4 linked regions of the Elephas maximus indicus genome follow. The protein of the gene in region 3 binds, or shares a complex with, the protein of the main gene of each other region. Links are inferred from orthologs where the notes say so. Each region holds a gene or a part of one and is shown on either strand. Other genes may lie near its edges. The genes, in order: AHI1, TMEM67, TCTN1 and TMEM107.

What was found.
Region 1: TCTN1 (region 3) and AHI1 share a complex: the UniProt entries of both Homo sapiens proteins name them as parts of the tectonic-like complex. The link is inferred for Elephas maximus indicus from reciprocal best matches to the Homo sapiens genes TCTN1 and AHI1.
Region 2: TCTN1 (region 3) and TMEM67 share a complex: the UniProt entries of both Homo sapiens proteins name them as parts of the tectonic-like complex. The link is inferred for Elephas maximus indicus from reciprocal best matches to the Homo sapiens genes TCTN1 and TMEM67.
Region 4: TCTN1 (region 3) and TMEM107 share a complex: the UniProt entries of both Homo sapiens proteins name them as parts of the tectonic-like complex. The link is inferred for Elephas maximus indicus from reciprocal best matches to the Homo sapiens genes TCTN1 and TMEM107.

What each region holds. Positions count from the first base shown.
Region 1 is NC_064819.1:205,069,979-205,077,195, forward strand, and holds the start of AHI1 (jouberin), read right to left. Parts: upstream 3,015-7,217; 5' UTR 2,927-3,014; exon of another isoform or gene 2,923-2,926; intron 1-2,922. UniProt on the Homo sapiens protein: Involved in vesicle trafficking and required for ciliogenesis, formation of primary non-motile cilium, and recruitment of RAB8A to the basal body of primary cilium.
Region 2 is NC_064833.1:48,229,749-48,236,975, reverse strand, and holds the start of TMEM67 (meckelin), read left to right. Parts: upstream 1-4,203; 5' UTR 4,204-4,236; coding exon 4,237-4,462; intron 4,463-6,178; coding exon 6,179-6,267; intron 6,268-7,227. UniProt on the Homo sapiens protein: Required for ciliary structure and function. Part of the tectonic-like complex which is required for tissue-specific ciliogenesis and may regulate ciliary membrane composition.
Region 3 is NC_064840.1:9,152,951-9,160,123, reverse strand, and holds the start of TCTN1 (tectonic-1), read right to left. Parts: upstream 3,010-7,173; 5' UTR 2,902-3,009; intron 2,513-2,901; 5' UTR 2,127-2,512; coding exon 1,817-2,126; intron 1-1,816. UniProt on the Homo sapiens protein: Component of the tectonic-like complex, a complex localized at the transition zone of primary cilia and acting as a barrier that prevents diffusion of transmembrane proteins between the cilia and plasma membranes.
Region 4 is NC_064837.1:12,589,610-12,596,680, reverse strand, and holds TMEM107 (transmembrane protein 107), read right to left. Parts: upstream 2,834-7,071; 5' UTR 2,701-2,833; coding exon 2,614-2,700; intron 2,426-2,613; coding exon 2,358-2,425; intron 2,256-2,357; coding exon 2,155-2,255; intron 1,440-2,154; coding exon 1,343-1,439; intron 1,158-1,342; coding exon 1,088-1,157; 3' UTR 512-1,087; downstream 1-511. UniProt on the Homo sapiens protein: Plays a role in cilia formation and embryonic patterning. Requires for normal Sonic hedgehog (Shh) signaling in the neural tube and acts in combination with GLI2 and GLI3 to pattern ventral and intermediate neuronal cell types.

The sequences.
Region 1 (7,217 bases), on a different chromosome or scaffold from region 3:
AGTTTGCTTCCATAAAGATTTATCACCTTGATAACCCTATGGGGCAGTTCTACTCTGTTCTACAGGATCGCTATGAGTTAGAATTGACAGGTTTGGTTTTAGAAGTGCAAATGATTAAGCACTAGGGTATTTATTAAAAGGCTGGAGGTTGAAGTTCACCCACAGGCACTTCCGAAGAAAGGGCCAGAGATTTATTTCCACTATTGAAAGGTCACAGCCATTGAAAACCCTATAAGCAGTTCTACTCTGACACACAAGGGGTTACCATGAGTCGGAATCCACTCAAGGACAACTGGCTTTTTTTTTTTTTTTTTTAAATAATTTTTATTGTGCTTTAAGTGAAAGTTTACAAATCAAGTCAGTCTGTCACATATAAACATATACACCTTACTCCATACTCCCATTTACTCTCCCCCTAATGAGTCAGCCCGCTCCCTCCTTCCAGTCTCTCCTTTTGTGACCGTTTTGCCAGTTTCTAACCCTCTCTACCCTCCCATCTCCCCTCCAGACAGGAGATGCCAACACAGCCTCAAGGGTCCACCTGATACAAGTAGCTCACTCTTCATCAGCTTCTCTCTCCAACCCATTGCCCAGTCCCTTCCATGTCTGATGAGTTGTCTTCGGGAATGGTTCCTGTCCTGGGCCAACAGAAGGTTTGGGGACCATGACTGCCGGGATTCTTCTAGTCTCAGTCAGACCATTAAGTCTGGTCTTTTTATGAGAATTTGGGGTCTGCATCCCACTGTTCTCCTCCCTCAGGGGTTCTCTGTTGTGCTCCCTGTCAGGGCAGTCATCGGTTGTGGCCGGGCACCATCTAGTTCTTCTGGTCTCAGGATGATGTAAGTCTCTGGTTCATGTGGCCCTTTCTGTCTCTTGGGCTCATAGTTATCGTGTGACCTTGGTGTTCTTCATTCTCCTTTGATCCAGGTGGGTTGAGACCAATTGATGCATCTTAGATGGCTGCTTGTTAGCATTTAAGACTCCGGACACCACACTTCAAAGTGGGATGCAGAATGTTTTCTTAATAGAATTTATTTTGCCAATTGACTTAGAAGTCCTCTTAAGCCATAGTTCCCAAACCCCTGCCCTTGCTCCGCTGACCTTCGAAGCATTCAGTTTATTCCGGAAACTTCTTTGCTTTTGGTCCAGTCCAGTTGAGCAACCAGCTTTTTAAAAAATATTATGTAATAATATAGCAGATACATAACTGACCTAATCATTTTTCAATGTTACTGTGTACTACAGAAAAAAACATTACAGAATTAGTGACTACTATTTAATGGACAGCGACATTATCTGACTTAAGATCAGAAGTTAAGATCAGATTAAAAAAGAGATCCCTGAACCTCATAACCCAAACCAAATCAAACCCACTACTGTTGAGTCAATTCCCACTTACAGCGAAGTGGGAACTGACTCAACAGTAGTGGGTTTGAAACCCTGGTGGCGTAGTGGTTAAGTGCTACAGCTGCTAACCAAAGGTTCGGCAGTTCGAATCCACCAGGTGCTCCTAGGAAACTCTATGGGGCAGTTCTACTGTGTCCTATAGGGTCGCTATGAGTCGAAATCGACTCGATGGCACTGGGTTTGGGTGGTTTTGGTATACATGCCATTATTTTAAAACTTCTTCCTCAGATACCTTTTTCACATAAAATGATTAGAGATACTAAGTAAGAAACATAACTGGATTGTTTCAGCTCATTTTAATTTTCCCTGATCTCCTGATTTTCAACTGTCAATCAGTAAGTGACTAAAGATCAAGGGGAAAAAAAGCAGAGAGGCTTGGATGATTCACTCCTTAATCAACTTTAATAGCAAGGAACAAACAAAATTCCCATATAAATAATTCAATTAATAAATCATCAACAAACCCTTTACCATGGAGTTGATTCCAACTCATAGAGACCCCATAGGGCAGTACAAGTGCCCCACAGGGTTTTCTTGGCCATAATCTTCATGGAAACCCTGGTGGTATAGTGGTTAAGTGCTATGGCTGCTAACCAAAGGGTCGGCAGTTCGAATCCACCAGGAGCCCATTGGAAACTCTATGGGGCAGTTCTACTCTGTCCTGTAGGGTCACTATGAGTCAGAATCGACTTGACAGCACTGGGTTCCTCTGGGTAATCTTTATGGAAGCAGCCTGCCACATTTTTCTCCTGCAAATCAACAAGTCTTCATAAACAATATTCTGAATGTGGTTTTAAAAAACTCTTTTGGTATTTGAATTTTTCAAATATTCTTTTAAAAATTTCCCAGGGTCCTCATAACAAGCAATCTTTTTTTCCTGAAAACCTAAGCAATAACAACAACCATTAATGCAACAGGTGAAATAACTGTTGCCATGTCTTTCTCAAAAAAAGTAAAAGCATATACGCCAGTCTGTAGATGATTTCACAGCAATGCTGAAATAAGGCCCAACCATTTGGTAGGGATTCCTAAATTATCAACTCTTTTTCTATTTTTATGTATACTGAAATGACCCTATTACACCTTTTATTTTTTAAACAAATATAACATTCACCACCGTTTTTCAGATGTATTTAAGAAGGCATTTCACAGGCTCAAGATTCAGCACCAGGTTGACACTATAAAAGGAAATAAACATACGCATCTGATTTTAAAGCGTTTAAGCTTGAACCGGGAGCAGTAAAAGCAAGAAATGCGTTCCCTCTTAGGACACCACGCTAACAAGTCACGAAGAGAGTCTTCCACGGAAGGGAGCGGAAAAGTGCGTAGAGGTGTTTCTCAAAAATCACATCCCTCCCCTCCCGGACGCCTGGCAGTGGCGCAGTGCGGCCCCAGCCCGGCCAAGCCGGCACTCCGCCCCCGCGCTCAGACCACATCAGTCCACGCAGTCGAGAGGGCCCGGGCAGGACGAGTCCCCAGCCCTGGGCTCCCACCACCAGCCCGCCAGCCACGTACTCACAAAGCGGAGGGCGCAGAGCTGCTGACCGCCTGTCCCGCCAGAGCCGAGCCCGGGCGGTGGGAAGCGGCTCCCGGCGCCAGGCGAGGTGGGCCGGGAGCTGGGCTGCTACGCAATGGCCCAGCCGCCAGCGACCCAGGATCTGCAAGCGAGCCAGATGCCGCAGTGTGGGCAGTGCACCCTCCTCCCGCCGCTGACGTCAGCGCTAGCCTACGCCGCCGTTCCCATGACAACCGATGCAGCCAGTGCTCTCTATCTGGACCGCAGTCTCTCTTCCGCGCCCCGTCCACGGCCCCGCCCCCGCACCGCCTACGCAGCGGCCCGCGAGGTGCCGCAGTACGCCGCCTGCGGAGGCAACGCGCGCGCGTCCGCTGGCCTGCGGCTGGCGGGCTGACGGGCACGCGCTCCGGGGGGTGCGCGGGGCTCCTCTAAGCTGGGAGCAGGATGAGAAACGGGTATACGCGGTGCTCGTCAGAGCCTGAGCGCGTTTCCACCCTCGCCCCGGAACAGGGGCTTTGCGCCTCAGAACTGCAACAAACGCTGGGAGAAACAGAAGGGGGAAAAGTGAGGCGGGGAGGCTATCGTGGATGCCGCCAAGGAAAAGAAACGTGAATGAAGCAAGAAGCAGGCGCCTCATCTCCCACGCGTTCGCGCCCACAAAAAAAAAAAAATGCCTAAAACGTGGAGAATAGTTGTACTACAGACAAAATCTTAGAGAAAAAATTAATCACTACTCGTCTAGCGGTGAGCTCTCACTGTTTTTAAAACAAAACAAAAATTAAAGCGTCATTTTTTATCTCACGTAATAACCCCGCCCACTTACTTGTGCCGCAGGCGCCATCTTTACCTCTGAGTCAGCAAGGGTGGAAAAATACTAGACAAGTTAAAACTCCTCCGTTCTTGAATTAGAGGCCATTTTCTGCAGTGGTAGTCAGACGTGGTAACCTGTTGCTTCGTTTGTACAGTGAAAGCGTTATCCATCTTTCTGTGGAGGCCAGACTACATTGCCATTGGCTTTCCATTCCACTTTACAGTCCATTCTACACAAAATATATCTCATTCGTTTCTTTAAATCCTGTGAAATAAGCAGTGAGAAATATTATCAGCCCAATGTGTCCCAAACTGAAGTCTTCAACTTTCCACCCAAAACCTCCCTGTCTGGATTTCATCTTGGTTTATGGCACCACTATCCAACCAGTGATCTAGGCAGATACTTGGTGCTGCTGTTAGCTGCCATCCAGTGACCCCAGCTCTTGAATGCATACTGATAAAAATAAATGAGCTTTTAAAAATGGGAGATAAAGCTCTTCCTTATACTAGAATGCCACTAATAAATGAAGGAGGAAGTGATGCAGGTACAAAAATCACTGGGCAACCTGTGTTAGTTATCTAGTGTTGCTATAACAGAAATACCACTAGTGGATGGCTTTAACAAAGAGAATTTTATTTTCTCACAGTTTAGTGGGTTAAAAGTCCAAATTCAGGGCATTGGCTCCAGGGGGGAAGGTTTTTTTCTCTCTGTTGGCCCTGGAGGAAGGTCCTTGTCCTCAATCTTCCCATGGTTGAGGAGCTTCTCAGGCGCAGGGATGCAGTGTCCAAAGGACACGCTCTGCACATGGTGCTGCTTTCTTGGTGGGATGAGGTCCCCCTGTCTTTGTGTTTGCTCTATCTTTTTTGTCTCTGTGCTTGCTGTATCTTTTAAGTCTCAAGAGAATGCTTCTAGACACGATCCAATACTGGAGGTTGAGTCTTGCCTCACTAAGACAACTGCTGCCCGTACTCCCTCAATTAACATCATAGAGGCAGGATTTACAACATACAGGAAAATCACACAACACCAGGAATCATGGTCCAGCCCAACTGATAAACACACATTTTTGGGGGGACATAATTCAACCCATGACACAACCATTACAGTAAAAAATGATTAAGGCAAGAATCATCAATGGATGCTAAAACTAGTGGGTGAGAGTTTTAAGAGGAACAAATTATTTGCATAGTCTCACATTATCTCTGCACAAAATACTTATGAATTACAAAGGAAAAAAAATAGAAACTTGAAGAAATCCGGCACTGGTAATCAGAGTTAACAGTAATGGGGTGAATTTACATCTTGTGACACTTGGTAAGAGTCACTTCAAACACATTTCTGTGGTATTTCTGCCAAAAAGGCATAACCTGAGTCTAATCATGAGGAAACATTAGTCAAATTCAAATTGAGAGACAATCACAAACCTGTATTCTTCAAATGTGTCAAGGTCATGAAAGATAAGGAGTGAGTAAAGAACTTTTTCAGATCGAAGGAGACTAAAGAGACGTGACAACTAAATGGAACACATGACTCTGAATTGAATTATTTGGCTGTAAAATACATTATTGGAACAAATGACAAAATTGAAATGAAATCTGTGGATTACGTGATAGTATTTTAACAATATTAATTTCCTAGTTTTAATGACTGTACTCTGGTAATGTAGGAGACAGCTTTGTTTTTATAAAAAACACACTGAAGAATTTAAAGGTAATGAAGCATCATGTCTGCAACTTAATCCAAAATGATTCAGAAATAAATGTATATATAAAGATAACAAATATAAATAATGAATATAGATAAAGAGTCTGGGTGGCATAAGCAGTTTGCAATCGGCTACTAGCCTAAAGGTCAGCGATTCGAACTCAGCCAATGTCTTCACAGAAGAAAGGCCAGGTGAACTGCTTTTGTAAAGTTTGCAATTAAGAAAGAAAACCCTATTGAACAGTTCTACTGCGTACTTATGGTCACCGTGAGTCAGAAGGCTGACTTAATGGAAGCTAACAGCAACAACAATATATCTAGACAGAAAGACTAATAGAGCAAATGTAGTATGCTAACAATTGGGAAATTTGGGCAAAGGAATTTGAACAAAGTTTTTATAGTATTCTTTCAATTTTTCTGTAAGTTTAAAATTATTTTAAAATGAAAAACAAATGACTTAAAAGCACCTGGGATTCTGGCTCCAGTAACTAGATGAAGAATGATTAATCAATTAAGAATGGAAAGTCAGGAAGAAGAGCAAGTTTGGGGGAAAAGATGTTTAGTTTAAGTGAGATATATCCAGTTATCCAGTAACAGTTGGAATATGTTGTTGCTGTTAGGTGCCAACGAGCTGGTTCCAACTCATGGCCACTCCATGTATAACAGAACGAAGCACTGCTCAGTCCTGTACCATCCTCACAATAGTAAGTATGTTTGAGCCTGTTGTTGCAGCTACTATGTCAATCCTCTCATTGAGGGTCTTCCTCTTTTTTGCTGACCCTTTGCTTTACTAAACATGATGTCCTTCTCCAGGGATTCGTCCCTCCTGATAACATGTCAAAAGTATGTGAGATGAAGTCTAAGGAGCATTCTGGGTATACTTCTTCCAAAACAGATTTGTTCGTTCTTCTCGCAGTTCGTGGTATATTTAACATTCCTCACCAACACCATAGTTCAAAGGCATCAATTCTTCTTTGGTCCTCTTATTCATTCTCCAGTTTTCTCATGCATATGAGGTCATTGAAAACACCATGGTTTGGGTCAGAGGCACTTTAGTCCTCAAAGGACATCTTTGCTTTTCAAGATTGAAAAGAGGCCCTTTGCAGCAGATTTGCCCAATGCAATACGTAGTTTTATCTCTTGACTGCTGCTTCCATGGGTATTGATTGTGGATGCAAGTAAAATGAAATCCTTGACAACTTCATTTTGTAGTGTAATTGAATATTCATGATGTTTATTATGATGTTGCTTACTGTTCCAGTTGGGATATAGTAAGCATATTATAATCAGTCCCAATCACACCGAAGAAAGCAGATATACTGCTTTTGTGTTGTAAACCCAGAGTGCAAGACTTAGGTCGCTCGACCATCCTAGGAGAGGCAGGCAATTAAGAAGTGATAATGGAGAATCTGTCACAAACAGTTAAGCGCTAGATTACTAGAAAGGCTGGCAGTTCAAGCCCACCTAGAGGTGCCTCAGAAGACAGGCCTGGCAATCTGCTTCTGAAAAGTCACAGCCTTGAAATCTCTATGAAATAGTTTCTGTACACATGAGGTTGCCATGAGTCAGAATTGACTGGTTTGCAACTAACAGCAACAACAAAGGTATTGAATAATGTTAAGGACTATTTGTTAACTTTGTTAGGTAAAAGTGGTTGTTGTTGGATGCTGTTGAGTCGATTTGGACACATAGCAACACTGTGATGGAGTAGAACCACCTCATAGGGTTTCCGAGGCTATAACCTTTACAGAAGCAGATTAGCAAAAGCTTTCCCCCTCA
Region 2 (7,227 bases), on a different chromosome or scaffold from region 3:
TTCAACAGAAAATTATTTCCCTAAGTTCACAAAGAATCAGTAAGTTGCTAGCAATGTTTTCCAGTGGTAGTCTCAAAATAGAACCTTCAAAAGCTTTGAAGTTTTAACAGTTACCTGACTTTGTTAAAAATGAAGTCATTAACAAGGAAAGCCTTTATGATATTGATAGGAGGTGGATTTCAATCTAGGCAATTAAACAATAAATACATATTTATAGGCTAAGTAAAATATCACAGAATGATTTGATTAATGTACATATAATTTGTGGAATAAGTGTTTCCCTTTGTGTCATTGGTTACTCAAAGACTGGATGTCAGAAAAAAGTTCAAAAAAAAATTTTTTTGCATATATCAGAATGAAAATCAGATGTTGATATCAAATAGTGACAATAAAAAACAAAAAACAAATTCATTGCCATCAAATCAATTCAAATTCTGCTACACCACCAGGGTTTCCAATGGTGTCAATACACACACACACGCACACACACACACACACACCTGTTGCCATCGAGTCCATTCCACCTCATCCAAGAAAAAACCAAACCCATTGCGGTTGAGTCTATTCCAACTCATAGCGACCCTATAACACAGAGTAGGACTGCCCCATAGAGTTTCTAAGGAGTGCCTGGTGGATTTGAACTGCTGACCTTTTGGTTAGCAGCCATAGCACTTAACCACCATGCCACCGGGGTTTCCTCTGACTCATAGCAACCCTAAATAAAAAAAAAAATATCTTTATCATCATTGAATGCTGCTGTTACTCTTTATTATAATAATCAGTTCAAGTGTGTTTCAAGTATGGCTCTGCATTGTTAAATAATATATCAACTCTCCGTATTTCTAGCTCAAAATGGTATTTTTTTCAACTGCTAAATTACATGCTGGTTGTTTCTAACTACGGATATTTAACATAAGTATTTTGATCACTTCAAAATCAATTTCTTACCTAAAAAAAATTTTTTTTGTTTTTCTTTTCTGCATGCAGGTGAATTTCAGATTCAGCTCGTAGGCCTTAGAAGTAATACTCTTAAAAGTTGGTCAAATTTAAACTTTTTATTGGAAAACAAATATGTCTAAATATTATTTAAATGCACATTAATGAGTGCCCTTTAGGAAGGTTGTGCTGGAGTTGAGCCATGTTACTCTAGGGCAAGAACAGTTTCTGGTATTTTCTCCAGCATCATCAGCTATATGATTCTAGGCATGCCCTGCTCATCAGTTTTTTGTAGGCATCTATCCTTCCCCAAGAAACCCTGGTGACACAGTGGTTAACAGCTATGGCTGCTAACCAAAAGGTCAGCAGTTCAAATCTATCAGGCACTTCCTGGAAACTCTATGGGGCAGTTCTACTCTGTGCTTTAGGGTCGCCATGAATAGGAACCAACTCAATGACAACAGATTTTTTTTTTTTTTAATTTAATCCTTCCCCATCAAAAACCTAAAAGGACAAGCTCACTCTTCCCTCCAACTCCAAATTACCAATTTTTAAAAATTCCACCATGTTTTATTTTATAAAAGTCACTGTGTTTCTTACTGCATGTCGAAAATTATATTACCATAACAGTGATAAGAACAATTTTTTGGTTAAATACTTCCTATAAAGTGAAATTTATCTATGAATGGTACTTCTATAATATTCAAAATACACAGTAAAAAAAAAAAAAAAAGAAAAAAATCCCTAACAATACAGCCCCAACTTATGCTTAAACAATTTTAGCTAACATTCTTTTCTGCCAGTTTACAGAGCCACTTTACAGAGATGAACTCATAGTATCTGCAGTTATCGCAAACTTAACTGTGTTTGTCTATTTCAAGTGCTTCTGTTACAGATAAACTCTCCATGTAGTTATTAGGGCAGTTTGTTAGGTACAGTGTTCAAAGCTCTTACACAATCATAGTGCCGCTGTCTGTGGTATATAATGGCAGTACCACCTTGTTAGCTAAAGATTAATGGTTTATTCCACATGTGGAATATGCCAAAATTTTTTACATTTATTCCACAAAGAAGACACTTAATACTGTGAAAACATAGTGGGTTTTGCAGTTGGCCAAATGGAGATAAATCCTAGTTTCACTAATTCCTAACACAGTGGAACTACTAACATTTTTTGATCCTGTCTATTTTTTTTTTTTTTTTTTAATAAACAGGGGTAGTTCTCCCTCAAAGGGTTGTTATGAACAGTTAAGATTAATGGTGCCAAGCGACTAGCACAGTGCACAGTGTGGAAGACAAAGAAGGTCAGTAATAAATGGGAACTTTTTATTATTATTAAATTATATAGTAGACAATGAGCAAATATTGCTTTAATCCCTGCCACAGAGCATATGAGCAATATGCACTTCATCAGGGAAGCCTAGATTTAAAACTCACCCATAGGAAGCTTTTGCAGATTAATCCCAACTATTCTAACTATTCTAACCATGCCTTTTCTGAGTCTCTGTGGTCACATGGGTTTGTTGCATGGTCACATGTTTTTTTTAATTCTAACCTCAAACACATTTTTGGAGTTCCTCTTAGAAACAGTTTTCAAAACATACACTTGCTGTGCCAGAGATTAGAACTGGGTGAATGCTGGTCTTTTGGGGAAGGCCACATGTGGTAATGGTAATGGAGCTCTGGCGGCACAATGGTTAAGTGCTGGCCTGCTACCTTTAAGGTCAGCGGTTCAAACCCACCAGCGGCTCTGTGGAGAAAAGACCCGGAAATCTGCTCCCATAAAGATTTCAGCCTAGGAAAACGCATGGAGCAGTTCTACCTATCCCATCCTGTCACTATGTGTCAGAATCAACACAACAGCATGCAACAACAATGGTGGTTAGTAAAGTTATTTAACTTTCTTAAATGCATTATCCATATCTTAATAGTGACAAACCATTTTTATTACAAAATTTGTTTTTTTTGAAAAAGTCAAAAATCATTTGAAGTTACCACTGATGAAAAGGTGGCTAAAAATAGGCTAGGATGATTTTATTGAAGAGACAAAATACAGCAGTCGCAAAAACAGAAATGCAGTTTAAATATAAAGAAATGAGGGACCTCATACCACCAAGAAACAAGAGTCAGAAGAATAACGAGTCCTTTGGACTCAGGGTTTCTGTACTGACAAGCTCCTGGACCAAGGGAAGATTAACGACAAGGACCTTCCTCCAGAGCCAACAAAGAGAAAGCCTTCTCCTGGGTCTGACACCCTGAATTCGGACTTGTAGCCTACTAAACTGTGAGAAAATAAATTTCTCTTTGTTAAAGCCAAAAAAATAAAATAAAATAAAGAAATGAGTTTTTCTTTTGTGTCCCGTACACTGGCTCTGAAGGTAATTCCAATATGTTGCAGGTAACTGCCTCAAGGGTGACTACTTTGAAAGAACATTCATATATGTGCAAATCTGATAAAAATTTAGATTCCTACTTTATTCACAGCGGTATAAAGAGGGTCTCATTCCATATACACAATTTCCAATGCTCAAAGCAAGGGAAGTAAAAAAACAAACTTCTGGCAGGTTTTTTTTTTTTTTCCCTTGTTTTGTTTTTTTCGTGCTTCAGGCATAGCAATTTTCCAGCATTGCATATTTTAAATGTTATTGATACTTTTTTGATCTTATCCATAGTAATAAATGCATAGTTGGAATGTCTTCTTCGACATGAAAATTACTCAGTCTGGATAAGTTCTGGAAAACCCCGGTGGCGTAGTGGTTAAGAGCTAAGGCTGCTAACCAAAATGTCAACAATTCAAATCCACCAGACACTCCTTGGAAACCCTGTGGGACAGTTCTACCCTGCCCTATAGGTTCGCTATGAGTCGGAATCGACTAGACGGCCACGGGTTGGTTTGGGTTGGTTAAATTCGGGTGTAAATTAATATTTAACTTAACGGTTTTATGAAACAATGTTTGCCATCCAGTGTGCTCCTACTCATGACGACCTTATGTATAAGACACAATAAGATAATTTCTTTCCTGTGCTATTCTATTTCTTGATCTCATAAACTGATTTCACGTTTCACTATTAAATCAGTTTGAACCACACTGTTTGAAATAGCCCCTGCTTTTTTTTCTAACCTACCGTGCCCCAGACACGCCAGCTTCCCGCGGGTTTGGTAACCAGGCAGCAGAGGCCTACTCTTCCGGGACCGGGGCCTGGGTGGGATGTGCTGGGGAAGCTGTCCAATAAGCTGGGCGGAGTCGCCGCGGAGGCTGATGGGGCCCCAGGGCCGGAGCGGCCGCTGGCGTCGGCACCATGGCGACGGGTGGCGGTGGTGCTGGGGTGGCAATGGCGGCTTGGCCCACTTTGTCCGCTGCGGCTTTGACGGCGCTCCTCCTGTTGGCCCTCCCTCGAGTCTTACAAGCCCAGACCTTCTCTTTACCTTTCCGGCAGCCAGAATCGTGCAGCCATAACCAGTACTTCGATATCTCCGCCCTCTCCTGCGTTCCGTGTGGAGCCAACCAGAGGCAGGACGCCGGAGGTGAGACGGTCTGGGTTGTGCCCTGGCAAAAGTAACGCTCCAGCCTTGGTGACACCCCCAGACCCCGGCAGCGCTGAAACGCCTTTTCAGCTGCTATAGGGATGTTTCAGAAAAAGTAACTGCCGACGCCTGAGGGAACAGTTTCTTCGGAGGATTGCGTTTAGCACACTAATGAGGTTGGAGAACCCCGAGTCCGCTATCTCCTGAGCGGTTCCCAGTAATTCATTTCTCGGCTCCAGTCTCCCACTCCTCACCCGGGGGTCGTTAGGGCAACACCTGGATAGCGGCTCGCAGAGAAGGAAAGGCATTGTAGAGAAATAATCTGAGATGCGGAGGTTTGGGAAGGGGATGCAGATTAGCATTTGTAAACTTTTAAAGCGCTTTATCTTGCTTTTCAAATCCCAGTAATTTAGAAATGGAAGGGACTGTAATCATGATCAGATCCATTCTTCTCATTTTACAGATAAAGAAATTGAAACCCAGAGGAGGTTATAACGTCTTTTGTGTTACCTAAATTGGGAAATGGAAGAACTCTTGTCTCTTTGCTCTTAGTGTGGAACTGTGTATGTCCACTATACAGTGTGACCCTAATATTGTAAATTTCCTTAGTACTTAGCCTTTTCTGTTGTTGAATATTTCTTATTGCTCTTAAAGTCGTTTTAAGTTAAACTAAAAGAAATAAATTCCCCTGAAATGTCCATCATTTGGTCCGAGTTCTTACAGAAACTGCTCTGAATAAGTCTTACATCTTCTAAATTCATGATCAAATCTTCAAGTTGAATACATCCTGGTTTTGCTCATCACACAAGATGGGTCAGGCCACTCAGGCAAGGAAAAATGAATGAAAAAGCATTTCAGAGACTAGTGTTAAGGGTTTTTTGCTGGGTATAGTCTTAAGGTATTAGGTTTGTAATCATAAATCCAGATATTGTATGCATTGTAGTACATAGATTAATTACTATGGGTGCTGTTTCCAGTTACCATCTACTTAGAGAATGCTGCACTTAACCTAACCAGAAAGTTGAATATTGACTATCTTAAAATGTTTACTATGTGCCCAAGCAGAGTGAAACAGTGTCTGAGTTGAATCAAGGCAACTTTCGTAATAATGAGGTTTGTTTTGACAAAGTACATTTGATTTCATTGAATATATGTGTATGCTTGAGTGACGGAAATGTAAATTTTCCCAGATCAGTTAATCAGTAGTTTGATTATTAGTTTAATAGTTCAATAGCATAATAGTTTAGTTATGCTTGCACAGTGGTTAAGAGCTCGGCTGCGAACCGAAAGGTCAGCAGATCAAATCCACCAGCCGCTTCTGGGAAACCTCGTGGGACAGTTCTTCTCTGTCCTGTAGGGTGTCTATGAGTCGAAACTGACTCTACGGGAATGGATTTTTGCACTTAAGATGGTAGCCAACACAATACCTCCTGTGTGCCAGACACACTCATGTTAACTCTATGAGGTAGGTACTGTTATTATCCCCATTTTACTGAAGAAGCTGAGGCACTGAGAAGTTGAGTAACTTGCTAAGTAGCAGAAGCAAAATTGGAACCTAAGGAGTGTGTTTCTGGATTTGCACCCTGGCTGTATTATTTCAGAGTCTTGCTCTTAACCACTATACTGCTTCTCAAGATTTTAAGAATTATTAAAAGTTCTCTGATCTTGGAGTTTTATTTTTATTTACCAAAGGCAAAATTGGCTCTTTTTCTTTAGGAACTTCATGTGTGTGTTTACCAGGATTTCAGATGATCTCTAATAATGGAGGATCTGTCGTTATTTGTAAAAAGTGCCCAGAAAACATGGTATGGAGTATTTATTTTTAAATCATTCTACTGTAAAAAAAAAAAAAAAAAAGTACATAAAATGTCTTTATTTTTTAAACTAAAATTAATATTTAATATTTTCCCACAAACTTTGAAAGTATTATGGTTACTTTGTTTTAACTAGAGTAAATTTTGGTACATCAGTGAAATTTTATGCAAATTTGGGAAAAAACTGGAATGTATTTACTTTTTTACTGTGCTTCAGGTCAAAGTTTACAGCTCAAGTTAATTTCTAATACAAAAATTTATATTGTTATGTGACACTAGTTGCAATCCCTACAATGTGACAGCACGGTCTCCATTTCCACCCTGGGTTTCTTGTGTCCTTTCAACCAGTTCCTGGCCCTTCCTGCCTTCTCATCCTGCATCTGGACAGGAACCACCCATTTGGTCTCGTGTATATGCTTGAACTAAAAAGCACATTCTTCACAAATATTATTTTATATTTCATAGTTCAATCTAATTTGTCTAAAGAGTAGGCTTAAGGAATGGTTTTAGTTCTGGGTTAGCAGAACATCCAGCAGCCATGGCTTTGGGGGTTCCTCCAGTCTTAGACCATTAAGTCTGGTCTTTTTGTGTCAATTTGAGTTGTGCTCCACACTTTTCTACCTGTCAGGGCAGTCATTAATGGTAGCTTGCCACCGTCTAGTTCTTCTGGTCTCAGGCTAACGGAGTCTCTGGTTTCTGTGGCCTTTTTGTCTCTTGGGCTAATATTTTCCTTGTGTCTTTGGTATTCTTCATTCTCCTTTGTTCCAGGTGGGTTGGGTCCAATTGATGCAGCTTAGATGGCTGCTCACTAGCTTTTAAGACCCCAGGCGCTACTCACCAAAGTGGGATGCAGAACATTTTCTTAATAAACGTTGTTAGGCCATCTAGATGTCCCCCAAAACCATGATTCCCAGACCCCAGCCTCTGCTACTCTGTCCTTTGAAGTGTTTG
Region 3 (7,173 bases):
CTTAATGTCTACATGCCTGCATCGTAGAGTAGGGTACTAATGAGCAGAGCTCAGATTCAAGATGAACAGTTACCACTCTTCTCTTCCACCAACACTGGCTGCAACCAGTTTTGCAAATGGCTGTCCAGTTCTCTACTGGAGCCAGCTTTCTGCTCCACCACTTACCAGCCATGTGGCCTTAAATTAAGCAAGTACTTCGCCTATCTGAAAAATAGTGATAACGTCATAGGGTTGTTACGAGGGTGAAGTGAGATATATCACAGCTGAAATGCTTACCACAGTGCTTGCCACATAGCAAAACCAAAAACCAAACCCATTGTTGTCGAGTTGATGTCAACTCATAGCCACCCTATAGGACAGAGTAGAGCTGCCCCATAGGGTTTCCAAGGAGTGGCTGGTGGATTTGAACTGCTGACCTTTTGGTTAGCAACCATAGCACTTAACCATTGTGCTGCCAGGGCTCCACCGCATAGCAAGCTGTTAATACATGACTGTCATTTATCATTACTGTCACAGGCCTAAAGTATTCTTTAAAAAGATGACGATCGGTATAAATTAATCCCCTATAATGGCAAAAAGAGCCCTGAACCCAAGCCCTAATAATGACGGCTCAAGAATAGCTTCATTTGGGAGAGAAAGCACATTAACAGGTGGAGGACTAACGTAGATAAAAGACAAGCCAGCTCCAAAAACCTTGGAGAATTTTGGGTGTTGAATACTTTGCTGTATTCTGTCACAATTTATCACTGATTTCACTTCCTTACTAATTCACCAATCAACAGTTTAAATATGAAACAGAATTCTGTTCATATCTATTAAACAACTATACTTCACCATACTTTTTCAGACAAACCACTCATGATTTATAAGGGAGGCCCCTTGGAGAAATAACAGTTCAGTTATTAAAGTTAAGTCCTAGAGTTCAGAATGCCAGCCAATAATGACTTTTCTAGTTAGTACTGAGACTTACTCAATTTAAGAAAAAGTATTGTTTTCTTAAGTGGGGATAAAACCTACTGCACACCTCTTTCAACCTTCACAGTCAGATAACCTATCCAGCTATTTATCTACTTAGAGGTCTAAACTCCTTTGAAGATCTACTGATTGCTAGGGACCCTCATCCCAGAAAAATGCGTGTTCACAAGATTTTGCACTCAGTCTCAGGGGGTCATAGACACCCCCTAAGTCATCCATGGCAAATCAGATTATAAAATACTCACTAAACATGTAACTGTCCGATTCCAGGGACACTTTCTGAGAAATGTTAATCAGCTCTACATATTAATCTTAAAAAGTGGGCAAAATCCCTCACCCCATATCTTCCCATGGCAAACTTAACTAAAGAGGAATCCAGAGTTTTCAGAATTCAAGTCGATAGACGAGGGCCTTGACATTTAGAAAACTAGACCTTTGGAGTCTCTTTAATACAACTAAAAACTCCGAACACATTCCATCCATTTAATTTCCACAACTGTCTAGAAACTTCTGATTAAATTTCATCTGCCGCTGGAAGGCTGCAACGCTTTATTCAGTATTTATTACCTTTAACATTAATATTGCCCAAGAGCTCTGCTAGTGCTTTAAAATATTTGATTTTGCACCATTACGCTCTCCGAGCCTCGGTTTCCTCATTTGTATAACGGGGACCCTATCATCTACCTCTCAGGGTTGTTGGCAGAAATTACATAACGCCTGTGAAACACTCGGCAATGTCTGGCACACACTGAGTGTGCAGTAAACTTTAGCTATCATCATTATCATTACCCTCTCCTGGCTGAATCACTGTGGAGCCCAGGAGTTGGCACTTGGTACCCACCGTCCGTGACCGGGGTGGGCCGGGGACCGGAAGAGGGGCCCCGCGCCCTGGGAGTGGCAGGGGGCCCAGACGGCGTGGAGGCTCCGAGAGTCGCCAGGGCTGCCTCGGTGGAGCTGAGGCCCTCCGTTGTCACCGCCGGGGTGGTCCCCGTCTGGGCCCTCACCGGGCTCCAGCAGCCCAGGAGCAGGAGCAGGAGCAGGAGCAGGAGCGGCTGGAAGCCCCGCGGCCCCATCGCCCTGCAGAACCCCCGCGCGGTCCTTGCGGTGGACAGCGCGTTGCCTGGCAACCGCGGTGGCCGAACGCGGGGCATCACGGGAAGGAGGGCGCGAAGCCGCGCGACATGGCGGAAACGAGGGGCGGGGAAATCCCAGCTGTCGTTCTCCAGCTCGACTGCGGCTCTTCTATGCAGATTTCCGGGTTCCAACCAGGAGACCTTGATTGGGTTGGCGTCGCGCAGGGTCCTGGAATCAGGATTTTTCACAAGTGCCCTGACGCCACCGGTGAGGGGACGGAACTTTGGCAACCGCTTTCTTTTTTTTTTGTCCTGATGCTACGAAATACGAGTCCTTTGAAGAAGTATGGGCGTCGCACCACCGTCCTTGAATTCTCTCCATCCAGAACGCGCTCGACCCAGCCTTTCCCTTTTTTGTTGTAGACGCATCCCGAGAGGTCTCCAAGTAACTTCTGTCCACCGCTCTGTGGTAAGGGGGACAAATGAACACTTAATGACTTTTTTAACTGACAAAAATTAAATAGAATGATTTTCAGTCTTAAAACACAAAGCAAATCAACTGTAATCCTACAAAGTGATAAAGAGACCACAAGACTTAGAGGGAAGTCCCTTCATCCTAAACTGGTTTATTTACAGAGGGGACCCGAACCCACGGAGGTTAGTTATACCGTGGACAAATAATCTCACATTTAAGAAGCAGATGTCGAAATACTTAAACGTATCATGGTATTTATTCAAGAAACATTTATTTACCAATTCAGAAAGATGCCAAAACAGCACATATACCTAGTTTATTAAATAAAAAATATATATATATAGCAAAACTAAATCATCAAAGCAACATCTTTAGCACCTTCCTGTGGCATTCCGGAGAAAGCGTAGAAAAATATAGCTGGATCACTCATGGGTGGCACACAGTTCCAACTTTTTCTTCATAGCATTGCTTTGGCATCTGACTGAAATTCTGAACCACTTTTAATAACTGATGAAACTTTCCCTCAAAAAAAAAATTTTTTTTTCCAAACCTCCATCTCATAATTGCTAAATCGAGGACTTTTTCTTTTTTAAACCTTCTCCTCATTTCCAGGATTTCACTCTCTTTTTTATTGCTTAACATCTGTGAATCACTTTGTCCTGTTTTCTGTTTTGAAATTTTAGGCTGTTGTTGCATTAGACTTTGATGAAGTGCTCTTTGGCTTTAACTTCTTTTTTTTTTTATCTTCATGATTATATGACCTGTGAGTTCCTCTTCAAGTCTAACATCCTATGATTCCAACTAGGACACAATTTGGGAAATAATCTCATCATACCTTCTTGTCCAATCTCAGTCAGTACATAACCAAAAAGTCGTTTTATGACATCTTACCAAGTCGAAATAAGGGTTACATCAACTCAGATACACTTTGCAAATCTTAGGAAAACTGGATCTTTCATTTCACAAGTGACCTGTTTCTGTCAGGTGATACCCTCTTGAGCCAGGCTTTTTTCATCTTTCATCCCAGAGGATCCTTTCTCCCTTCCTTCCGCCCTGGCCTTAGCAGGTTACCTCATTTGGATGGAAGGACACAAAGAGAAGTTAACATCTGTTCCCTATTTTTCCAACACTGCAGTGTCTGGGTTATTCATAAATGTTTGTGATATAAAATGTCCATCTGTTTCTCTAGGGTTATTGGCATTCTCAATTCCTTAGAGTCTGTGCCAGCCTTAGAAGGACTAAAGACATTTCAGCTTTGGAATTTTGTGCTTGGAAAATGTTGCATATGAGGAGCCTGAAAAAGCTAAGACACAGGAGTACCTGGGGGTGGGGGGTGGGGGGGGTTAAGGCTTTTTTTGCAAGGCACAAGGCAGTGTTAACCACTCCTCATATTCTTTGGTGTCTTCTGAGGTGAGCTGGTGGTTGTTGTTATTATTATTATTGCTACAGTCATGGCTTCTAATCTGTTTAAAATTAGGTATCATTTTTTTCCTGCTAATAAGTATAATAGAAACCCTGGTGGCCAGGGTGCTACGGTTAAGTACTCAGCTGCTAACTGAAAGATTGATGGTTCAAACCCAGCCAGCGGCTCCGCAGGAGGAAGCTCTGGTGATCTGCTCCCATAAAGATTGTTGTTGTTAGATGCTGTCGAGTCGGTTCCAACTCATAGCTACACTATGTACAAGAGAAGCAAACACTGCCTGGTCCTGCGTCGTCCTCACAGTCATTGCTATGCTTGAGCCAATTGTTGTAGCCACTGTGTCAGTCCAGCTCGTTGAGGGTCTTCCTCTCTTTCACTGACCCTCTACCAAGCACCATGTCCTTCTCCAGGAACTGGTCCCTTCTGATACCATGTCCAAAGTACATGAGACAAAGTCTTGCCATCCTTGCTTCTAAGGAGCATTCTGACTGTACTTCTTCCAGGATGGATTTGTTCATTCTTCTGCATTCCATAGTACATTCAGTACTCTTCACCAACACTGTAATTCAGAGGCACCAATTCTTCTTTGGTCTTCGTTATTCATTATCCAGCTTTTGCTTGCATATGAGGCGATTGAAAATATCATGGCTTGAGTCAGGTGCACCTTAGTTCTCAAGGTGACATCTTTGCTTTTTAACACTTTAAAGAGGTCTTTTGCAGCAGATTTGCCCAATGCAATACTTCGTTTGATTTCTTGACTGCTTCTTCCATGAGCACTTTGTGGATCCAAGTAAAATGAAATCCTTGACAACTTCAGTCTTTTCTCCATTTATTATGATGTTGCTTATTGGTCCAGTTATGATGATTTTTTGTTTTCTTTATGTTGAGGTATAATTCATACTGAAGGCTGTGGTCTTTGATCTTCATCAGTAAGTGCTTCAAGTCCTCTTCGCTGTCTGCAGGCAAGGTTGTGTCACCTGCATATTGCAGGTTGTTAATGAGTCTTCTTCATATAGTCCAGATTCTCAGATTAATTGCTCAGCATACAGATTGAATAAGTATGGTGAAAGAAGACTACCCTGACGCATACCTTTCATGTTTTTAAACCGTGTAGTTTGAACAACTGCCTCTTGGTCTGTGTGCACATTCCTCATGAGCACAATTAAGTGTTCTAGAATTTCCATTCTTCCAAATGTTATGCATAATTTGTTGTGATCTACATAGTCAAATGCCTTTGCATAGTCAATAAAACACAGGTAAACAACTTTCTGGTATTCTCTGCTTTCAGCCAAGATCCATCTGACATCAGTAATTATATTCTTGTTCCACATCCTCTTCTTGACTTTCTGGCAGTTCTCTGTTGATGTACTGTTGCAACCATTTTTAAATTATCTTCAGCAAAATTTTACTTGTGTGTGATATTAATGATATTGTTCAATAATTTCTAGATCCTGTTGAATTAGTTTTCTTTGGAATGAGCACAGATATGGATCTCTTCCAGTCAGTTGGCCAGGTAGCTGTCTTCCAAATTTCTTGGCATAGGTGAGTGAGCACTTCCAGTGCTGCATCCGTTTGTTGAAACATCTCAATTGGTATGCCATCAATTCCTGGAGGCTTGTTTTTCGCCAATGCCTTTAGTGCAGCTTGGACTTCTTCCTTCAATACCATCAGTTCTTGATCGTATGCTACCTCCTGAAATGGTTTAATGTCAACCAATTCTTTTTGGTACAGTGACTCTGTGTATTCCTTCCATCTTCTTTTGATGCTTCCTGCACTGTTCAATATTTTGCCCATAGAATCCTTCAATATTGCAACTTGGGGCTTAAAATTTTTTCTTCAGTTCTTTCAGCCTGAGAAATACTGAGCATGTTCTTCCTTTTGGTGTTCTAATTCCAGGTCTTTGCACGTTTCATTATAATACTTGGTCTTCTAGAGCTGCCCTTTGAAATCTTCTGTTCGGCTCTTTTACTTCATCTTTCTTCCACTTGCTTTAGCTGCTTTACGTTCAAGAGCAAGTTTCAGAGTCTCTTCTGACATCTATTTTGGTCTTTTCTTTCTTTCCTGTCTTTTTAATGACCTTGTGCTTTCTTCATGTATGATATCCTTGATGTCATCCCACAATTCGTTTGGTCGTTAATGTTCAATGTGTGAAATCTGTCCTTGAGATGGTTTCTAAATTCAGGTGGGATATACTCAAGGTCATATTTTGGCTCTTGTGGACTTGTTTTGATTTTCTTCAGCTTCAGCTTGAACTTGCATATGAACAATTGATAGTCAGTTCCACAGTCAGCCCCTGGCCTTTTTCTGACATTTTTCCACAAATGTAGTCGATTTGATTCCTGCTTATCCCGTCTGGCAATGTCCACATGTATAGTCCCTATTTATGTTGCTGAAAAAAGATATTTGCAGTGAAGAAGTCGTTCGTCTTGCAAAATTCTTTCATACAATTCCAGCATCATCTGTCACCAAGGCTATATTTTCCAACTACTTGTCCTTCCTCTTTGTTTCCAGCCTTCTCATTCCAATCACCAGTAATTATCAATGCATCTTGATTGCATGTTTGATCAATTTCAGACTGCAGAAGTTGGTAAAAAAATCTTTGGCCTTAGTAATTGGTGCATGAATTTGGATAATAGTCATATTAAATGGTCGTCCTTGTAGGTGTATGGATATTATCTTATCACTGACAGTGTTGTCCTTCAGGGTAGATCTTGAAATGCTTTTTGACGATGAATGTAACGCCAATCCTGTTCAATCTGTCACTCCTGGCGTAGTAGACTACAACATGATTGGCAGATTCAGGAAGGCCAATAACAGTTCATTTTAGCTCACTAATGCCTAAATATCAATCTTTATGCATTCCATTTCATTTTTTACGACTTCCAGTTTTCCTAGATTCATACTTCATACATTTCATGTTCCGATTATTAATGGATGTTTGCAGCTGTTTCTTCTCATTTTGAGCCGTCCCACCTCAGCAAATGAAGATCCCGAAAGTTTTACTCCATCCATGTCATTAAGGTTGACTCTGCTTTGAGGAGGCAGCTCTTCCGCAGTTGTGTTTGAGTGCCTTCTAACCTGAGGGCTTATCTTCCAGCCCTATATCGCTAAAAATATCACTAGTCTGTCTTAATCTGGAAGCTCCACTGAAACCTGTCCCCCATGGTTGACCCTGCTGGTAATTGAAATACTGGTGGCATAGCTTCCAGCATCCCAACAACACACAAGCC
Region 4 (7,071 bases), on a different chromosome or scaffold from region 3:
TTTTTTTCATAACAAAAACTGAAAGAAGTGATCGCCAGTAAAATCAGATAGGAGCAATCAGGATGTTGCTGGTCCTGATTACGCGGAAACGTTAATCACGGATCATGCGAGCTCCAAATCATCATTTTAAATCTGCTCTCCAAAAGGAGAAACAGGTAAGGATTAACCTTACTGACGATAACCTGAAAACCTTACCCACTCCGCACTCAATGAAAAAAATTGCGCTTACACCTAGGGTGAGCGTAAAACTCATTCGCTGAAGCTACCTAACGTTATTTAAGGCTCCTCCGTTTCTGTAGCAATCTTTCTTTGTGGATTTTTAAATATACTTTTTTTCATTCGCTTCCGAAAAAAGAATAAATCAACTCTTCCCAGAATGCTCCGCGTAATCACTTGCTGAGCCGGAACAGTGGCATCCCCTTATTTACATATCCCCACCCACTCCCTTCCGCCAGATGTCTACCGTAATAACCAAAATAAAAGGTACTTACTGCCAGGCGCTCCTTGGAAACTCTATGGGGCAGTTACACTCTGTCCTACAGGGTCGCTATAGGAATCGACTCGACGGCACCGGGTTTTTTTTACTATCATACAGTCTGCAAGGCTGGAAAACAGTCTTCCGTTTCTTCAGTAGCTTGGCCACCCCAAATCTCCCTTGAAATTTTTATAACTCTTTTAAAAATATATTTTATTATGTTTTAGGTGAAAGTTTACACAGCAAATTAGGTCCCCATTTGACAATTTTTATACAAATTGTTCCGTGATATTGGTTACAATGTTCACAATGTGTCAGTATTCTCACCTTTACTTTTGGGTAAATGATAGTCTCATCTGGTTGATTTTTTTTAAGGGAGTACATTCCTCAGGGGTGATGTTGTTTGAAATTTTTAACACAAGTCTTGATCTTATTAAAAATATATTTTATTACAAAATACTACATAAGACGTGAATAATCCTAGACGCGGAAGATAATCATGCCAACGCTGACATCCTCCTCTAGATGCAGGTGCAGGGCGAGGACGGAAGTCTATGCCTTCCTGCTCCTGTTGCTCCAGCCTTTGCCCCTCCATTCCCGTCATTAAGGTGATCACAAAGGTTTCTTTTTCAGTCCAAAGACGGTGACGAATAATGCCATTTCAGTGACCGCTGGGAGGGCGCTGTGGGAGGTAGGTGGTGGATTCAAGGACCCTTAATAAAAATACCCAAATCCCCAAACCAGAGACCCCACCGCCAGCATGCAGTGGGGAATATTTCAGGATGTTGAGTGGATCTGGCATCTCACACATGGAGGACACCTTCAGATTTGAGGTAAACCTTCCTCTCCCATTCCCAAATACCTTACCTGCAGAAGACAAAAATGTACCAGTACGTGGTGCACTCCCAACGCTCAAATATGAAGAAGGATAGGGCCACGGATGCACTACAGTGTGCCCCGATGGCTTGGGCACACCCTAGAGTCAAGGAAAGCCTTGGGATGGCAGGTAGTGATGGGCCAGAAAAAGCCCGTGGTGGGGCTGGCACCTGTGCTCAGGTTAATCTCTAGCTGCCTCACCACACTGCAAGATCAGAGCCTGAAGCCTTCTGAGTTGTAGAACAGCCTTCTGAGTAGAAGCCAGAGGTGAGGCTGCACACCTGGGATCCCAGGCTACTCCCACCCAATCATTAGGGGGCAGCCTGAACCCTCCAGGTGAGGTAAGAGCAGGTTCCCCACCTACCCCCAGGCCACACAGGCATGCTCACAGCAGCCTGATGCTGTTAGCTGGAATCCCCCTCCACCTCCCTGGGACTCCTGGCCCACAATTCAGGTGTCAAGCCGCTCTCCTGATCCATGTCCCTCACTTCCTTTGTCTTCTCTGAGTCCCCATATTGCTTTATACCCTTCCACAATCCTACAGTGTAGTGCTGGTTGTATTGCATTACCTTCAAGGTAGAGATGTTTTACCCCCCTTTCTGGATCTCCAGTGTCTGGTGTATAGCAGGGACTTAACACATTAATGAAGACTGTATTAAATCCCTCATACTGTCTGTCTAAGAAGATCTCCCAACTGGAAAGATTTTGTCTGTGCCTTAGGACAAACACTATTGCGCCAGAAAAGCCTAGTCAGGCGGCTGGAAATGGGCCGTGTGGGAAAGGTGTGCAGGTGGAAAGGATACAGATGAGGCTCTGGGTGCTGTTGAACATGGAAACTCCTGAGAAGAAACCGGCCAACTCCACTGCAAAGAGGCCCAGGGTGACAGAGAGAGCTGCCACCAGCCTGTAAAGAGGAAGGGTGCTGGCTCAGCCCTTGAGGCTTTTTTCTAAGACCCCTCCACTCCGACCACCGCTTCATTCTGACCATCCCGCACAAAGAGCTCACTGAACATCCTGCTTCTCGTACTCCTCGGGGGTGAATGTGAGAGGCAGGCAGGCCTGGATGTTGCTGTCCTGGGGAGCCGGGCAGAGAGGAACAAAAGTGTGAAAAAGGGGCCGGCTGCGGGTCCGGCGTGAGGCGGCGGGGGATGGGGGAACCCCCGAAAGGGCCGATGTCAGAAAGTCCTAGGGAAGGGGCGGGGTAGGACTGGGACTATCCTAGGTGGGGCTAGGGGTGACAAGCGGGCGGCCGTAGGTCTTACCCGGGACCAGAATAAAGTGATGACGATAACCAGATGTGCCAGGAGCGTCAGGAAGCGAGAGGGCACGAATCCGGAGACCCGGCCCATGGCCCCCGGGGGCAGGGGCACTGGCCAGAGCAAAGGCCGTGGTCTCTGAAGCTGGAAGCTCTCAGTGGGTCCTGAGGTCCCCGCACCGCCCGCCCGCGCCCACCAGCGCGGAGAAACTCGTATTCCTCCTCCCCTCCCGCGCTGGCACCGCCCAGTTGCCTTGGCAACTGCGTAAATAGGCGCTGGGCCACGTTCTCTAGAAATCTCGCGAGAGCAGTAAATTCTCGAGCCGCCAGGGGCTTCCAGGGCAGCGTGGGTCCGAGATCCGCTGCAGGTGGTCGCGAGTCGGAACTGAGTTGACTGGCAGCTCCTCGATGGCAGCAGAGCCGTCTGCCCCTGAGACTGTGCCGTGTGGCGTGGCCTGGCACCGCCGAATCTACCCGGCCGGGCGGGCGAGCAGAAACCCGGCCTGCTCTAGCCCGGGGACAGCCCCTCGTCCCCAGATGCTCACACAGGGAACGACCTAGCCCCCAGCCCCGGCTACGGTGCGCCGGATGACCCACCACTGGAGACCGCTGCCACTGCCACGCCGGGTTTGGGACACTGGCGTGTATGTACAGATAGATAGACAAAGATAAAACAATGTCTGGGTGAAAAAAATAAAACACATGAGAATTCCTTGTAGTACTTTTGCAGTTTTTCTATAAATCATTTTAAAATACAAAGTTTAAACCAACACACCTTCCAACAACAAGCTATTTTGTAGATATCGACAAAATAATTCTAAGTTTATATGGATTGCTTTGTAAATTTTGATTTTAATTTTGTTCTGTAATTATGTTAAACATTTATGTGGTTGCATAGTGAAATCTACCAAAAAAAAAAGTACATTGAGAGAAGTCAGGCCTCCATTCGTGTACCCTCCACCCTCCATCTCAGGTAAACCATTTTATTAGTTTTTGGTTTATCCTTCCGTTAAAAAAAAATACATATGTACACACTATAGCCAAAAACCAACCCCAATGATTCCAACGCATAGCAACCATATAGGACAGAGTAGAACTGCTCATTGAATATACCATGGACTGACGGAAGGACAAACAAATCTGTCTTGGAAGAAGTACAGCCAGAATGCTCCTTAGAAGCAAGGATGGCGAGACTTTGTCTTGCTTACTTTGGGCATGTTATCAGGCGTGACCAATCCCTGGAAAAGAACATCATACTTGGTAAAGTGGAGGGTCAGCAAAAAAGAGGAAGATCTTCAGGGACATGGATTGACACAATGGGCTTAAACATATCTAATACTGTGAGGATGGCACAGGACTGAACGACATCTCATTCTGTTGTAGATAGGATCACTATGAGTCAGAGCTGACTCAACAGCACTTGACAACAACATCTATGAGGCAGATAGAAAACCGAGGCACAGAGCAGTGTATTTACCTGCCTGAGGTCACAGAGCCTGTAACTGATGACAGCACCAAAACCAAACCATACCCAGTGCTGTTAAGCAAACCCCAGTCTGACTTAAAAATCTGAGCTTTTAGCCACCAGACTCTTACCTCTCATCAGTCCTGACTATAATTTGTAATCATTTGATTTATTACTATACTCATTTATTATGTCTCTCCTACTAGAACAAAACGAATACAACAAATAAATGAAGTTCCCTTGAGGTCAAAGCCCAGGAGAGCCACTGCCATTCCGAAATGTGTGTAGGGGCTTGTGGGAGGAGGGGTAGTAGATCAGCAGCTACTCAGCTTCAATCAGTTGTCTTAAGGGAAACTGAGTCCAATGTTGCCAGATTCCTTGCTTGTTTGTTTTTTCTGAGAGACCAGAAATCCAGCTTCTTATTTCAATTCTAAATGTTGGTCTTCAATTTAAAAATGAAAAAAATAACCATGATGGCAATACAGTACACCAGGCTTCAACCTCTGGACCAGCACTATCCAATAGAACTTTCTCTGATGATGGAAATATTCCATATTGTCTATGTCTAATATGGTAGCCAGCTAGCTTCATCTGGCTATTGAACACTTGAAATGTGGATAGTGGGACTGAGAAACTGAAATTTTTTTAAAAAATTTATTGGGATAGCCCCATGTGGCTAGTGCCAGCTCTAGAAGTCTCTTTCTGTTAGTTCTGGGAGAAGGTCCTTGTCATCAGCCTTTCCCTGGCCTAGGAGCTTCTCAGCACAGGAACCTCAGGTCCAAAGGATTCAGCTCTGCTTTCTTGGTGGTATGAGGTCGCCCTCCCCACCTGTCCCCATCCTTGCTTCCCTCTTTTATATCTCAAAAGACATTGACTCAAGACACAACCTAATCTTGTAGATTGAGTCCTGCCTCATTAACATAACTGCCTCTAATCCTGCCTTATTAACATCATAGAGGTAGGATTTACAACACATAGGAAATTCACATCGGATCACAAAATGGTGGACAGTCACACAATACTGGGAATCATGGCCTAGCCAAGTTGACACACATTTTGGGGGGATACAATTCAATCCATAACAATTACCGATTTACAGATGTAGGCCCTGAGGCACAGGGAGGTTCCATAAGTAGCCCAAATTACACAGCTAGTAAGTAGCAAAGCTCGTATATAAATCCTAGCAACCTGGTTCCAGAGCCCACATACTTAACCACTATATTACTTGACCTTGTGGGCCAACCTTCATCCAAAAGGTGATGTGGCACTGATTTTAAGCTAAGGAGTGAGGGAATCATGTTTGAATTTTACAAAGATGATTCTCTTGACTATTCTGGAGGCAAGGAGAACAGAGAGGAGTCTATTACAATAATGGGTCAAAAGAAGCTGGGGCTTGTCAATGGGAAAGGAGAATGAGGACTGACAGGAGAATTATTAAGGAAATTGGCAGGGCTTGGTGGCTTATTGGAAATGGGAATTGCGGGAAAGGAAAGAGTCAAGGTTGAGTCCCAGCTTCAGCTTTGCCACTCACTGAGCGTGCAGAAGGACTGGGAAAGGATGACAGGGTCAAGTAGAGGTGTCTGAATCTAGAAGTGGGGTGGTATGGAGAGGGAGTGGGATCCAGGAGCCCTCAGCACACAGAGATAGCTGAAGCCAGGGAGCATGCATGGCTTGAGGAAAGAAGACAGAACTGGAAAATGAGGATTTAAGGTGAGGACAGAAAAAGAGGGATGAGTGAGGTGGGGCTGGGGGAGGAGCGGGTTAAGGGACGGCCAGCAGACAAGTGTCCTGACAACCAAGGGAGAAGAAGATTCTTAGAGGAGATGTTGTCCTGAGTCCAGTAAGGCCAGGCGAGAGGAACATCTGTGGGCTTTGACATTTCTGTGGTCCCTTAAAACTTTCGGTAGGGCCACTGTGCACAATGTGCAAAAATTTGGCTTGGAGGGCAAGGAGCGAGATACTGTATGACCTTCTCTCACATGTAAGCCTGTTGAACACCTCTCATCCTTCAAGACACAGTCGGAATTTCTTCCAGTTCCGGCTGTTCCTCTGCAGAAGTCCCAGCTCTGTCTAGCTACCCAGTTGCTGTCTTCTGACTGGTGGTGACCCCAAGTGTCTCAGAGGAGAACTGTGCTCTGTAGGGTTTTCAACGGCTGATTTTTCAAAAAGTAGAGTTGAACCTCCAACCTTTTGGTTATCAGCCGAGTATGTTAACCGTTTGCACCACCCAGGGACTCCTCCGTCTCCCTAGTGGAGCTTTAAAAAAATACTGAAGTTTCAAAACGAGACTAAAAGGGGCACACCAGCCCAGGGGCAAGATCTAGAAGGCAGGAGGGGACAGGAAAGCTGGTAATAGGGAACCCAAGGTCGAGAACGGAGAATGTTGACGTGTCCTGGTGTTGTTAACCAATGTCATAAAACAATACGTGTACTAACTTTTAATGAGAAGCTAGTTTGTTCTGTGAACTTTCATTTAAAGTACAATTTAAAAAAAATACTGACATTCATGGTGATAGAAATTAGAACAATGATCGCCTCTGGGAAGCGGGGGTGGATTGGGAAGGGATAGGAGAGAACTTTCTGGGGCGATGAAACCATCCTGTATCTTGAAGAGTTGTGGGTTGCGCAGGTGTATGATTTTGTCAAAATTCATCAAACTGCATTTCATTGTATGTAAATTATACAAAAATATCTACCCTGGACCATTTAAATCAGAGTCTCCAAGCCTGGGGCTTGTGCGTGGCTATTTTTTAACGCTCCGCAGGAGATTGTAATTTGCAGCCGGGGAGAAGGTGCACTGATGGAGGAGCTAATCTCTCACTTCTTCAGGCTCTGGAATGGCTCCGTCACACTCTGCCTGGTATCTGTCCTTCCATCCGTTTCTGGGCAGGTCCATCCCAGCTGGCCTGTGGTGACCAGCTCAGGCCCTCTTGGTTGTCTGCAGGACTCCAGCCAGAGTCGGGGTCGGAGGGACCGCTGAGCCTGGAGCCTGTAAAACCA